Linked DNA regions of Cricetulus griseus. Each later gene encodes a partner of the first gene's protein in a complex. Links are inferred from orthologs where the notes say so. Each region holds a gene or a part of one and is shown in the gene's direction. Other genes may lie near its edges.

Region 1 (3,982 bases):
CACCTGCACTGTGTGGCCATTCCTTTTAAGTGTTGTAAATTTTTTTTTTTTTTTTTTTAAATGAAGGCCAACAAACACCCCTGCTGGGCAGATTTGGCCCTGCTACTTTGCTAGCACTCTCCAACCAGCCATCCCTCCCTCTGACTAAAAAAACTAGTTTTCTCTATTTGGAGCAACTTAGGACAAGCCAGGTAACCTTGCATTCATGCTCCTAAATTTGCTCCGCGAACCTGGCCGGGCCGGTGCAGAGATCTTGCTCTGCTCCTCTCCTCCCCGAATTCAAACGCAGCGAGAGGGGGGAGAGAGCTGATGCTTTTCTTTTTTTCTTTTCTTTTTTGGGTTTTTCGAGACAGGGTTTCTCTGTGGCTTTGGAGACTGTCCTGGAACTATCTCTTGTAGACTAGGCTGATCTCAAACTCACAGAGATCTGCCTGCCTCTGCCTCCCGAGTTCTAGGATCACCTTGTGTAGGAATCACCTGACAGTCTTGTTTGACCTGCAGGTCAGACCTGGGCGGTTTCTTTCCTTCGAGGGTAGGGGGGAAGGAATGTTGCCTGGTAGCTGAGGCTGGCCTTAGGCTAACTTGCAATCTTGAACCCACGCTCCTTCTTAAGGAGTTCCTGGGTGTTGCAGATACTGCTGACCCCTGGGTTTTACTGGAGAAGTCTAGAGCTCCTTTCAATTCGGGCTCCGGGAGTGGTTGCCACAGAGCTTCCTTTTGCCTGCCAGACATGCTGGGTTTGTTCAGGTTTGGGTTTATATAGACTAGCCAGGGAGACGGCAGTCGAGGGCGAAGGCGGTGCACTGCCAAGCTACCTCTAGGCCTGGAGTTTCAGATCTAGAAGGCCAGGAGGAGTGGAGGAAGGTGTTAGTTAGGTCCTAACTGGAGAAGCCTCTGGAGGAGGGGCATGAACCACAGGAGCATTCTCTGGCCGAGGAGCAGAAAGCCGGACCGAATTCTGTCCCCTGGGTATTTCCGCGTATTCCATCCGCTCCTAGTTTCCCAGGGTATCCCACGTGCATTTAATCCTTAAGTCCCAGCCCATCAAGTTTCTCCTCACAAGATCGGGGGTTTAAAAGCGGCTGCGCCGTAGAGCACTCCCATGGTGCCGCGCGCTGGGCGGGTTTGTATTTTAAATCCCCGCGGCCAATCAACAACGCGCAGGTCCTTGTAACGTTCCCAGCGCTGCGTTTGAATTCGGGGAGGAGCGGAGCAGGGCAAGATCTCTGCACCGGCCCGGCCAGGTTCGCGTAGCAAATTTAGGAGCATGAATGCAGCGGCCAAAAAGCTGGCTCGAGCACCAGCCGATCTCGGGAAAGCTGGGGTTCCTGGAGATGCAGCTACCGGTGCCCCAGTGACCGCCCCGCTGTCGAAAGAGATTCCTGAGGTCTTAGTGGACCCACGCAGCCGGCGCCAGTATGTGCGGGGCCGCTTTCTGGGTAAAGGAGGATTTGCCAAATGCTTCGAGATCTCGGATGCAGACACAAAGGAGGTGTTCGCAGGCAAGATCGTGCCGAAGTCTTTACTTCTCAAGCCCCACCAAAAGGAAAAGATGTCTATGGAGATTTCTATCCACCGCAGCCTCGCACACCAACACGTCGTAGGCTTCCACGGCTTTTTTGAGGACAGCGACTTTGTGTTTGTGGTTTTGGAGCTCTGTCGCAGGAGGGTGAGTGTTTCTGCTGTGGTGTTGGGGCGACCACACCGGGAACTTGCTGGCAAAGAGGCATCGACGCCTTGGAGTGGCCTAGAGGAGTGCTTGGGTTTCAAGCAATTATGAAGGGGCTCCTGGTGAGGGTGTTTGGCATTCCGAGCTGCTGAGGCCGGGGGTTGAGGGCAAGCGGAACCCGGGACCTGTTGCTATTATTAGGGAAGGTGGCTCCTGCACGCAAGACTGCCAGTAGGTGCAGGAAATGGGTGTTTAAAGTGATTAACAAGGGTCCCAAGCTACGGCTGCCGCGGACCTAGAACTTCCGGAGTGGAGTGGGGCAGGGTCTGGAGTGGGGGAGGGAGGAGAGGCTGTCTGGAGTCAGACCTCAGCTTTCAGGAAAAGGAGAGGGTCTCCTGCTGGGAGGAAGCCCCTAAATAAGGGGTTGAGAGAAGACGCTGGGTAAGGGTACTCGTTAACAGGAGAGGGGTCCTGTGAATGATAATGGCCTGACCAGTGTATGGACAGAACCATTAGGAGCCTGCCAAGACATAAGAATTATGGGTTAATAAGTGGAAGAGTTAGCTAAGCCTGTACTATAGGCCGAGCATTTATAATTAATATAAGCCTCAGAGTAGTTATTTGGAATCGGCTGGTCGGGATAGGAAACTTCCGTCTATACTTTACTCCCGAGGGTTTAATCTTGGCCACATCCAGCTGGCCACCCTTTTCCTTGGGCTTAACTACCTTCTTCCCTCTTCCTCAGTCTCTCCTGGAACTGCACAAGAGGAGGAAAGCGCTGACCGAGCCCGAGGCACGCTACTATCTACGTCAGATAGTCCTGGGCTGCCAGTATCTGCACCGAAATCAGGTCATTCACAGGGACCTCAAGCTAGGCAACCTCTTCCTGAACGAGGATCTGGAGGTGAAAATAGGTGAGGTGCTGGGCCTGCGGGTGTCTGGTGCCAGTACAAGAGGTGGCAAGGAGGGGAACTCTGGGAGAATGGGAGCCAGAGAAGTGGAAGGTGGGTGGGAAATGGAGGTGCTGCCCTCCAGAAAGCCTTCTTGTCCAGAAATGGAAAGTAAGTGTCCCACAGGCCAGTGTTTTGCTGTCCCTTTACTGAGCTGAAAAGCACCTTTTCCCTTGAGACTCTGATTTGCCTCAGTCCCTATACTCCTGTCACTTTTCTTAAACTTGTCACAGTCACAAAGAATATTTACTTGATTCCCTAGTGCATCCAATTCTGCTATCCTATGTATTTTAAATTTCATATATGTGGGGTTCGAGATAGAAGGTAACTTTCTGGAGTCAGTTCTGTTCTTCCATTGTGGGTTCCAGGGTCAACTCAAGTTGTTAGTCTTAGCGGCAAGCACCTGTACCTACTGAGCCATCTTACTTCCCTAGCCCTGCTATCTAAAGAGGAGTGTAAAGGGCAGTGGGAAGGTTCGGGAACAGAGACTGGAGTCTTGAGGCACTGGCTCTCTATGGTCAGTCCTGAGGCAGTTGTCTGCAGCCACAAGATGGCCTAGCAGCTAATCACCTCTCTTCTTCCCTCTGTCCCAGGGGACTTTGGGCTGGCAACCAAAGTGGAATATGAAGGTGAACGAAAGAAGACCTTATGTGGCACTCCTAACTACATAGCTCCCGAGGTGCTGAGCAAGAAGGGACACAGTTTTGAGGTGGATGTGTGGTCCATTGGGTGTATCATGTAAGTTGGGAATGGACTCAGGAGCTATTGGGTCTCAACAGGATTTTCTGAGGCATTTCATCCAGTTGACCTTTCCCTCTGGATCCCACATGAAGCCCCTTTTCCTTATTTATCAATCTATAGCATTCCTGTAGCTTGGACTTATGGTCCAGGGAAGGGACCAAATGTGTCTACACTTCTTCCTCCAGCTCCTTGCTGCTTACTAAAAGCATGCACTAACCCAAACCATCAATACCTCTGAGGGTTTGTTAGGATGTGGAAATCTCAGTTCTGGACCTGGGTCTAATAAAATCCCTGGCTGACTTTCAGTAAAGCTTTGGAAACACTGATGAGTGCTGATGGGAGAATCAGATCAGCAGAAAGGTTCATGGTAGGCAGAAGCTCCATCATGGTGCTTGTGCCTGTGGCAGATAGCAGTGGCCTCTGCGGTTCTTGAGGAGTCCTCTATTACTGCAGGCCAGAGCTGGGGAATCTCTAGCGCTTGGTATTCAGTGTTGTCACCTGCATTCTTCTGAGGGCTTATCCCAGCCATTGGCTTCTATGAGACTGAGCAGACTTGGAGATCAGCCTCATCCGTTCTGAGTCAGTGAATCCAGCCCAGCTCCCTTCCTCTAGACAATGACTT
Region 2 (3,516 bases), on another chromosome or scaffold:
CTGGAACTAGCTCTTGTAAACCAGGCTGGTCTCAAACTCAGAGATCCACCTGCCTCTGCCTCCCCAGTGCTGGGATTAAAGGTGTGCACCACCACCACCCGGCGGCTTTTTTTTTGTTTTTAACATTTATTTTTATTCATGAGTATGTGTCACTGTGAATTATGTCATGTATGTACAGGTACCAATGGAAGACATGAGAGGGCTTCAGATCCCCTGGAACTAGAGTTATAGGCAATTGTGAGCTGACTAACATGGATACTAAAAACTGAATTCTAGTTGTCTGGAAGAGCGGTGATACTTAACTGCAGAGACATCTCCAGTTCCCTCTGCCTTTATATTATTTGTTATGTGTGAGTGTGTGTATAGTATGTATGTATAAATGTTTGTGGGTCCATACATGCCACAGCATATGGGACTCAAACTCAGGTCCTCAGGCTTGGTGGCAAGTACCTTTACCCACTGAGCTATTTCATCTGTCCCCATGATTGGCTCCTAGTTTGTTTTTAATACACTATTTTTAAGCCATGTTGGGGTGTTGAACACCTTTAATCCCAGCACTTGGGAGACAGAGGCCAGCCTTGTCTACAGAGCTAGTTCCAAAACAGCTAGAGCTGTTACACAGAGAAACCCTGACTCTAAAAACCAAACCAAGCAAAAACCCATTTTCTAAATAATTTTAGATGTATAGAAAAGTTGCATAGCTCCCCTAAGGATAACACCTCACAAATCCTCACACATTTGTCACCAGTAAGAAACCAATACTGGTGTGTCATTGTTAACTAAATTCCTGGAGTTTTTACTGAATCAGTTTCTGTTTTGGATGCTTTTCCTCTGCAAGTTTTTCTTTTTATGTTCCTGAGGATCCAGAAATGTTCCCAGGGATAAAGCTGGTGCGGAGAGGGGGGAAATCCATACCTCCAGTGGTCCACACAGTAGGCTGCTCAAAGTTGAGACTATGTGAAATCCATGCTAGAAAGCTTATGTCAAGATGTAAAGAGACCTGAGCAAAACATCCGGATTCCAGGGCGAGAGGGACAGCTCACAGTTGAGAGTGCCTGCTGCTCCTGCAGTGGTCCCAGGTTCTGCTTCCCAGAGCTCATAACTCCATAGCTCCAACTCTAGGGATCTGATGCCCTTTTCTCCTCTCTACAGGCATCCAAAGCATTCACGCGAGTGCACACACACACACATACACACACACACACAGGCAGACACAGATGCACACAGACAGACATAGACATACAGACACACATACACACACACAGACAGACACACACACACAGAAAAATAATAAGAAGCCAGGCATGGTAGCACACACCTTTTATCATAGGGGGTAGGAGGATCTCTGTAAGGCTAGTCTACATGGTGAGACCCTGTTTTAAAAATAAACTGGGCCTGGGTGGCTTTAGGTTGCCTAGAGAAACCATGGGGCAGGAGACACAGGATTTCAATACTCCAGTTTAAACACAGGAGTGAAAAAATTGCCCAAGTAATTCCCAAGGTAGGGAATTGGATGTCTGGCACTGGCTGGTCTTGCTCTCTGCCGCACAGATGTGACACTCTGGTCCAAGTGCTATCCTTCTGTGAGGCCAGAGTTTTGTTGTGGGTTTCCTTTGGAATGCCTTCCCTTTCAGGCCTTGAAGGTGAAGTTGAAGTTGAAAGAAGAAGAAAGGCTCCAGTTCCTGGAGCAGCAAAACGGATGTAAGGACCAAGCCAGTGACTTCACAGTAGTCCTGGAGGAAATGGAGCAGCTTTTAGAGATGTAATACAAGGCAGTGTGGCCAGACGGCTTCTTCCTGGGGCAAACTCCCAGAGGAAGCCCCTTAGGGTATCCTCAAGGACTCACCATCCCTTATGCACTGTAGCAGTTAATCTTACTTAGGGTAGTTGATGTGGAACGGGGTTCCTCCTTAAGCAGACTGCCCACCTTCAGACTGCTCAGCTCACCTGGCCTCACAAGGTGCTTGCTCATGGAGACCTGCAAGAGAGGGACCTAGAAGCTTGACTCCACCACCTGCGCAACAAAGCACCAACCCTCAGAGCCTGGATGCTAACCCAGCCAGCCACCTTGGAGAATCCAGAGGCTCTTATGCAGAAATGTGGGAGGAAAGCCTTCATACAACAGTGCATATACTTACTGTACAGGAGATGTCACTGAGAACCATGCTGTCCCCTTCTTTGTCCACCCGGTTAAGCTAAATTCATGAACTTGAAATTCTTGAAGTTTTTTTGGCTTAATAAACGGGGTGGAGGTATATATAACACCTACCTGCAACAAATAGCACTTGGAGCTTTTAAGTACTGCTTTTGAAATAAATACATATGTGAATTTTCATATTCTGATTAGCACTGAGGAATGAAATAGCTTTTTAGCCCAGTGTGGTGGCTCATGTCTATAATCAGGACTTGGGAATCTGAGGCAGGAGAATTGCCTTGAATTAGAGACTAGCCAAGGCTTCAGAGATCCTATCTCAAAAAAGGAGGAAAAGGGAGGGAGGAAGGATTAATTAGCACTTCAGTCTAGATAGATGAGTCGAGCATACTGGGTAAGTTCAAGGCTTCCTGACTTCTGTGGTGTATTTTTCCCTCCACCTGTTACTTGCTTGTAACAAGCCCCCTTGCCGTCCAGGTCACTGGTTCTTCTGCACTGTGGGCCATGTCCTATTCACCATGTTTATGGCCAGCTGCTGTCTCTGTTGCCTGTATGTCTGCAGTTTATCTATCACAGCCAACCCAGAACCTCATCCCACAGGCCCTATGGTCTCTGTGGTTTATGGCCTGGCACCCATGGTAGCCTCCCACTTGGGGTCACCAAAAGTGCTACCATGTTTCCTTTCTTAATTGAAATATTCCAGCTTTTGCTTTGGCTATCTCCCCTTGGTTTTGTGCCTTCCACCAAACCTGCCTAATATATCCTTCTAAATCACTAAGACTGCCCAGAGTCCCCTAACCCAGTGAAGCCAAGTCATACCCCATACTTATTTTCTTTCTTTTTCAAATGTATAAAATGGCTTATAATGTAAAGGCACAAATAAGGACCATCACACAGTAGATAAAGCAACGCACCTTCACCATATGCAAGGTGGGACTCCAGGAGGGGTGGCTATAGAGGAATGCATTCTGGGTTCCTTTGTGATGCACGATCCTTCCAAGACTCTGGTGAAGTCCTGAATGGTATGCAGAGTTCAGATGAGGGGTGGACAGCCATGCAGTCTCACAGGAGTATGCTCTGCTCATGCATGCAGGAGACCAAAGGACACTCACCAGCAACAGGATCCACTATGGGAGCGTGTGACCCACACCATCACTTTGAGATAGCTGCCTTACTATCATATGCCATTCTTGTATCTATAAAAACTAATACTGAACAATGAGTTCTGGGTTGCAAAAGAGTGCTTTTGTTTTTTGTTTTGTTTTTTTAACCTGTCTTCCATGCCTTTTTCCACCAGCGGAACAAAAGCACACACACACACACACACACACACACACACACACACACACACACACACAATCTTA
Region 3 (3,516 bases), on another chromosome or scaffold:
AGTAAGCTAGGAAGTACCTGTTATGTTTGAACGGAAAGGATGCCAGGCCTGGAGAGACAGTTAAGAGTACATACTTTTCTTGCAGAGAACTAGAGTTCAGTTTTCAGCACCCACAACTGGCAGCTCACAACTTCCTGTAACTTCAAGGGATCTGACATCCCTGTCCTCACTCATGCAGACACATATACATATACATACGTTAATAATAATAAAAATATTTTTTAAAAAAGAAGGTAAGGGCCAGGCGGTGGTGGTGCACACCTTTAATCCTAGCACTAGGGAGGCAGAGGCAGGCGGATCTCTGAGTTCAAGACCAGCATGGTATACAAAGAGAGTTCCAGGACAGACTCCAAAGCTACACAGAGAAACTCTGTCTTGATAAACTAGCAAAAAAAAAATGTGTGCTAATCACAAAAATTTTGGTTGTCAAGTCATAGGTAGAATTAAATATAAGAAAAAGGACAGTAGTAGCTAAAGGATTTAAGGTTTTGTTTTTTCATTTTAAATGAAAAATGTTGTTTTAGTGGGAGAGACTTAAGCACATCGCATGTTTGGGGAAAGGCAGTAGTGGGAAGCTGGGGTAGGACCAGAAGGTAGAGTGGAAGCTCACTCTGGGTGTGGCCCAGGAAAGGTGGCCCAGGACGTCACCCTCAAGTGCGGCTGAGCAGCTGATTATGTTATTTTTCTCCTTTGCCCTCAGGCTGAATCAGAGATCATTCTGCCCAGCACAGGTTGTGCTCCAGCCCAGGAACACCTTCTGCCTGATGATAGCACTGCTTCAGAAAAGGCCCTGACAGCAGTGGCAGATGAAGGTTAAAGACCTTGGGGTTTAAGGAGGGTGGCACAGATGCACACCACTAGGCTTGTCTGTCGTACCCCACTTCCACTGCTTCAGTCCCCTGGTTGGGCCACCAGAGAGACCTTCTCTATGCTTCATTTTTTTTTTTTTAAGATTTTATTTATTTATTTATTTATTATGTATACAACATTCTGCTTCCATGTATATCTGCACACCAGAAGAGGGCACCAGGTCTCATGACAGATGGTTGTGAGCCACCATGTGGTTGCTGGGAATTGAACTCAGGACCTCTGGAAGAGCAGTCAGTGCTCTTAACGTCTGAGCCATCTCTCCAGCCCCTATGCTTCACTTTTTTAAATTTTGTTTATTTGTTTGTTTGTTCATGTTCGATTGTTTTCCAGAGACGTGGTCTCATGTAGTTCACCATGGCCTTGAATTTCTAAGTTGATGAACATACATGGTTTATTTTTGCTTTAGAGCCAGAACCAGTTCCCGTCGTGCCATTGCTTGGAAGTGATAAGAGTGCTTTCACCCGAGTAGCATCAACGATTTCCTTTCAGCCTACAGGTTAGGATGGGCTCCAGGGACCACGAGCAAAGACAAAAGCAGAGAGAAGTACTTTGCTCTAAAAACCTCGATTCTACTTGGGCTTGTTTTATTCCTGTCTTTTGGGATCTGTGATGTTCCGGATATTACAGTCTTGTGGGTGGGGAACAAAACGTGGAAATGTGGTTGTGTAGCCCATCCTAGGCAGAAGGGCTGTATTTCTATCTAGGACTTCCTCTTTCAGAGACCCCAGGACTGGAGAAGAGCTCATCAGAAATGAGTACTATGTTACTAGAGCTTCAGAGCCTGTGTTCTCTGCTGCAGGAGTCTAAAGAAGAAGCCATTGGGGCCCTGCAGAGAAAAATGTGAGAGGTGTTGATGATAGGGGGTGATGAGAGCGCCCCTCATGCCAAGGGCTGAGTACAGGAATGATGCCGACTTCTTCCCTCCCATAGCTGTGAATTGCAGACTAGACTGCAGGACCAAGAGGAAGAGCATCAGGAAGCCCTGAAGGCAAAGGAGGCAGACATAGAGAAGCTGAACCAGGCCTTGTGCTTATGCTATAAGGTGAAGGAGGGACCTTAAAGTGGGGCGATGAAGAACTGGGGCGGCTCCACCAGCCCACTGGGAACCACTCTCTAGGAATCTAGGTAGTGGGGGTTTTCCAACTGCTGCCCTAGTTTTGCCCTTTTGGGGTCAGACATTTGATATCTGAGACTTTGCTCTGGGCCGACCTGTCACATTCAAGCAGACCCAGGAGAGAAGCCTAGAACTGAAGCAGAGCTCTGAACCAAGATATGCCATACTTGACTTGGCCCTGAAGAAAAATTGGACTGATATGAACTAATCCCCAAGGCTGAGCACAGCGAAGGCATTCTGTCCTGCCTTCTGGCAAGGGCTGCAAAAGTTAGCCTTTCCTCAGAGCTTTCTCTCCTCTTTTTTTCTTCACAGAATGAAAAGGAGCTCCAGGAAGTGATACAGAAGCAGAACGAGAAGATCTTAGGGCAGATAGACAAGAGTGGTGAGCTCATAGTAAGTTCCTAGTGATGTTGTGAGGCCTCTGCTTCTCCCACCTGATGGAGTAAAGAGAGAAAGGACCCCCGAGTGCTGTTGGATTACTCTGCTCTTGTTCCCAGAGTCTCAAGGAGGAGGTGACCCAGCTCACACGTTTACTGCGGCATGCAGAGACAGAGACGAAAGTGCTCCAGGAAGCTCTGGAGGGCCAGCTAGACCCCAGCTGTCAGCTGATGGCTACTAACTGGATCCAGGAAAAAGTCTCTCTCTCACAGGAGGTAACTCAAGTTAACCAAGGATCTGGGCACCTACTGGGGACCCCAGGCTGTGCCCCTATTAATGTGGACATATTTATAAGGTGGACAAGCTGAGGGCCATGTTCCTGGAGATGAAAAACGAGAAAGCAAAACTGGTGATCAAGTATCAGAGCCATGTAAGGAATTGTTTTCTTCCACCACAAGCAAGCACCCTGCCATGTTGCCCGTGTCTTCTCTAGCTATGGTCTTTTAAGTATAGGGCTTATGAAGCCTGTTTGTATTTTAGAGGAACATTCTTGAGGAGAACCTTCGGCGCTCTGACACTGAGTTAAAGAAACTGGATGACACTATCCAGTATATCTACGAGGTAAAAGTGAGGGAGGTACCAGGACCTGGCCGCAGAGAACTGAGGGGCTCAGCTCTGGTTCTCAGCCTGTGCTGGGAGCTAGGCCTGTCCTCTGCCAGTAGGTCTCCCTCCTCTAGCCTCACGGGCCAGGAGCTTTGGCTTCAGCCTTGTGATTCAGAGCTGTTTTCTCTGCCTCTTTCCAGACTCTGCTGTCTGTCCCAGAGGTAGTGAAGAGTTGCAAAGAACTACAAAGATTGCTGGAGTTTCTGAGCTAAGAAACTGAAAATATTGCACCTGCAGTTCCAGCTACTCCGGAGGCAGAGGCAGGAGGATTGCTTACTCCAAGAGTTTGAGACTAGAGTGGACAGCACGGCAAAGAAACTGAAGGCTGGATTCCACTTCATTCCCTTCAGGATCCCTTACCCCAGTAATAGGAATTGGCATATAGCCAACTGTTTTTATGTTATTTAAATAAAGTATATTTAATGTAGTTCTTACATCCACTGGATCTTATTTTGGGGGTAGGAGTGGGCAGATGAAATCAGGGAGGCAGC

The links.
Region 2: Plk1 (region 1) and Knstrn share a complex: the UniProt entries of both Homo sapiens proteins name them as parts of the astrin (SPAG5)-kinastrin (SKAP) complex. The link is inferred for Cricetulus griseus from reciprocal best matches to the Homo sapiens genes PLK1 and KNSTRN.
Region 3: Plk1 (region 1) and Spag5 share a complex: the UniProt entries of both Homo sapiens proteins name them as parts of the astrin (SPAG5)-kinastrin (SKAP) complex. The link is inferred for Cricetulus griseus from reciprocal best matches to the Homo sapiens genes PLK1 and SPAG5.

What each region holds. Positions count from the first base shown.
Region 1 is NC_048596.1:78,505,943-78,509,924, reverse strand, and holds the start of Plk1 (serine/threonine-protein kinase PLK1), read left to right. Parts: upstream 1-1,177; 5' UTR 1,178-1,267; coding exon 1,268-1,669; intron 1,670-2,414; coding exon 2,415-2,583; intron 2,584-3,212; coding exon 3,213-3,357; intron 3,358-3,982. UniProt on the Homo sapiens protein: Serine/threonine-protein kinase that performs several important functions throughout M phase of the cell cycle, including the regulation of centrosome maturation and spindle assembly, the removal of cohesins from chromosome arms, the inactivation of anaphase-promoting complex/cyclosome (APC/C) inhibitors, and the regulation of mitotic exit and cytokinesis.
Region 2 is NC_048599.1:59,661,534-59,665,049, reverse strand, and holds the end of Knstrn (small kinetochore-associated protein), read left to right. Parts: intron 1-1,634; coding exon 1,635-1,766; 3' UTR 1,767-3,374; downstream 3,375-3,516. UniProt on the Homo sapiens protein: Essential component of the mitotic spindle required for faithful chromosome segregation and progression into anaphase.
Region 3 is NC_048600.1:91,708,184-91,711,699, forward strand, and holds the end of Spag5 (sperm-associated antigen 5), read left to right. Parts: intron 1-700; coding exon 701-812; intron 813-1,276; coding exon 1,277-1,366; intron 1,367-1,589; coding exon 1,590-1,710; intron 1,711-1,800; coding exon 1,801-1,912; intron 1,913-2,296; coding exon 2,297-2,377; intron 2,378-2,481; coding exon 2,482-2,637; intron 2,638-2,717; coding exon 2,718-2,792; intron 2,793-2,902; coding exon 2,903-2,983; intron 2,984-3,165; coding exon 3,166-3,237; 3' UTR 3,238-3,452; downstream 3,453-3,516. UniProt on the Homo sapiens protein: Essential component of the mitotic spindle required for normal chromosome segregation and progression into anaphase. Required for chromosome alignment, normal timing of sister chromatid segregation, and maintenance of spindle pole architecture.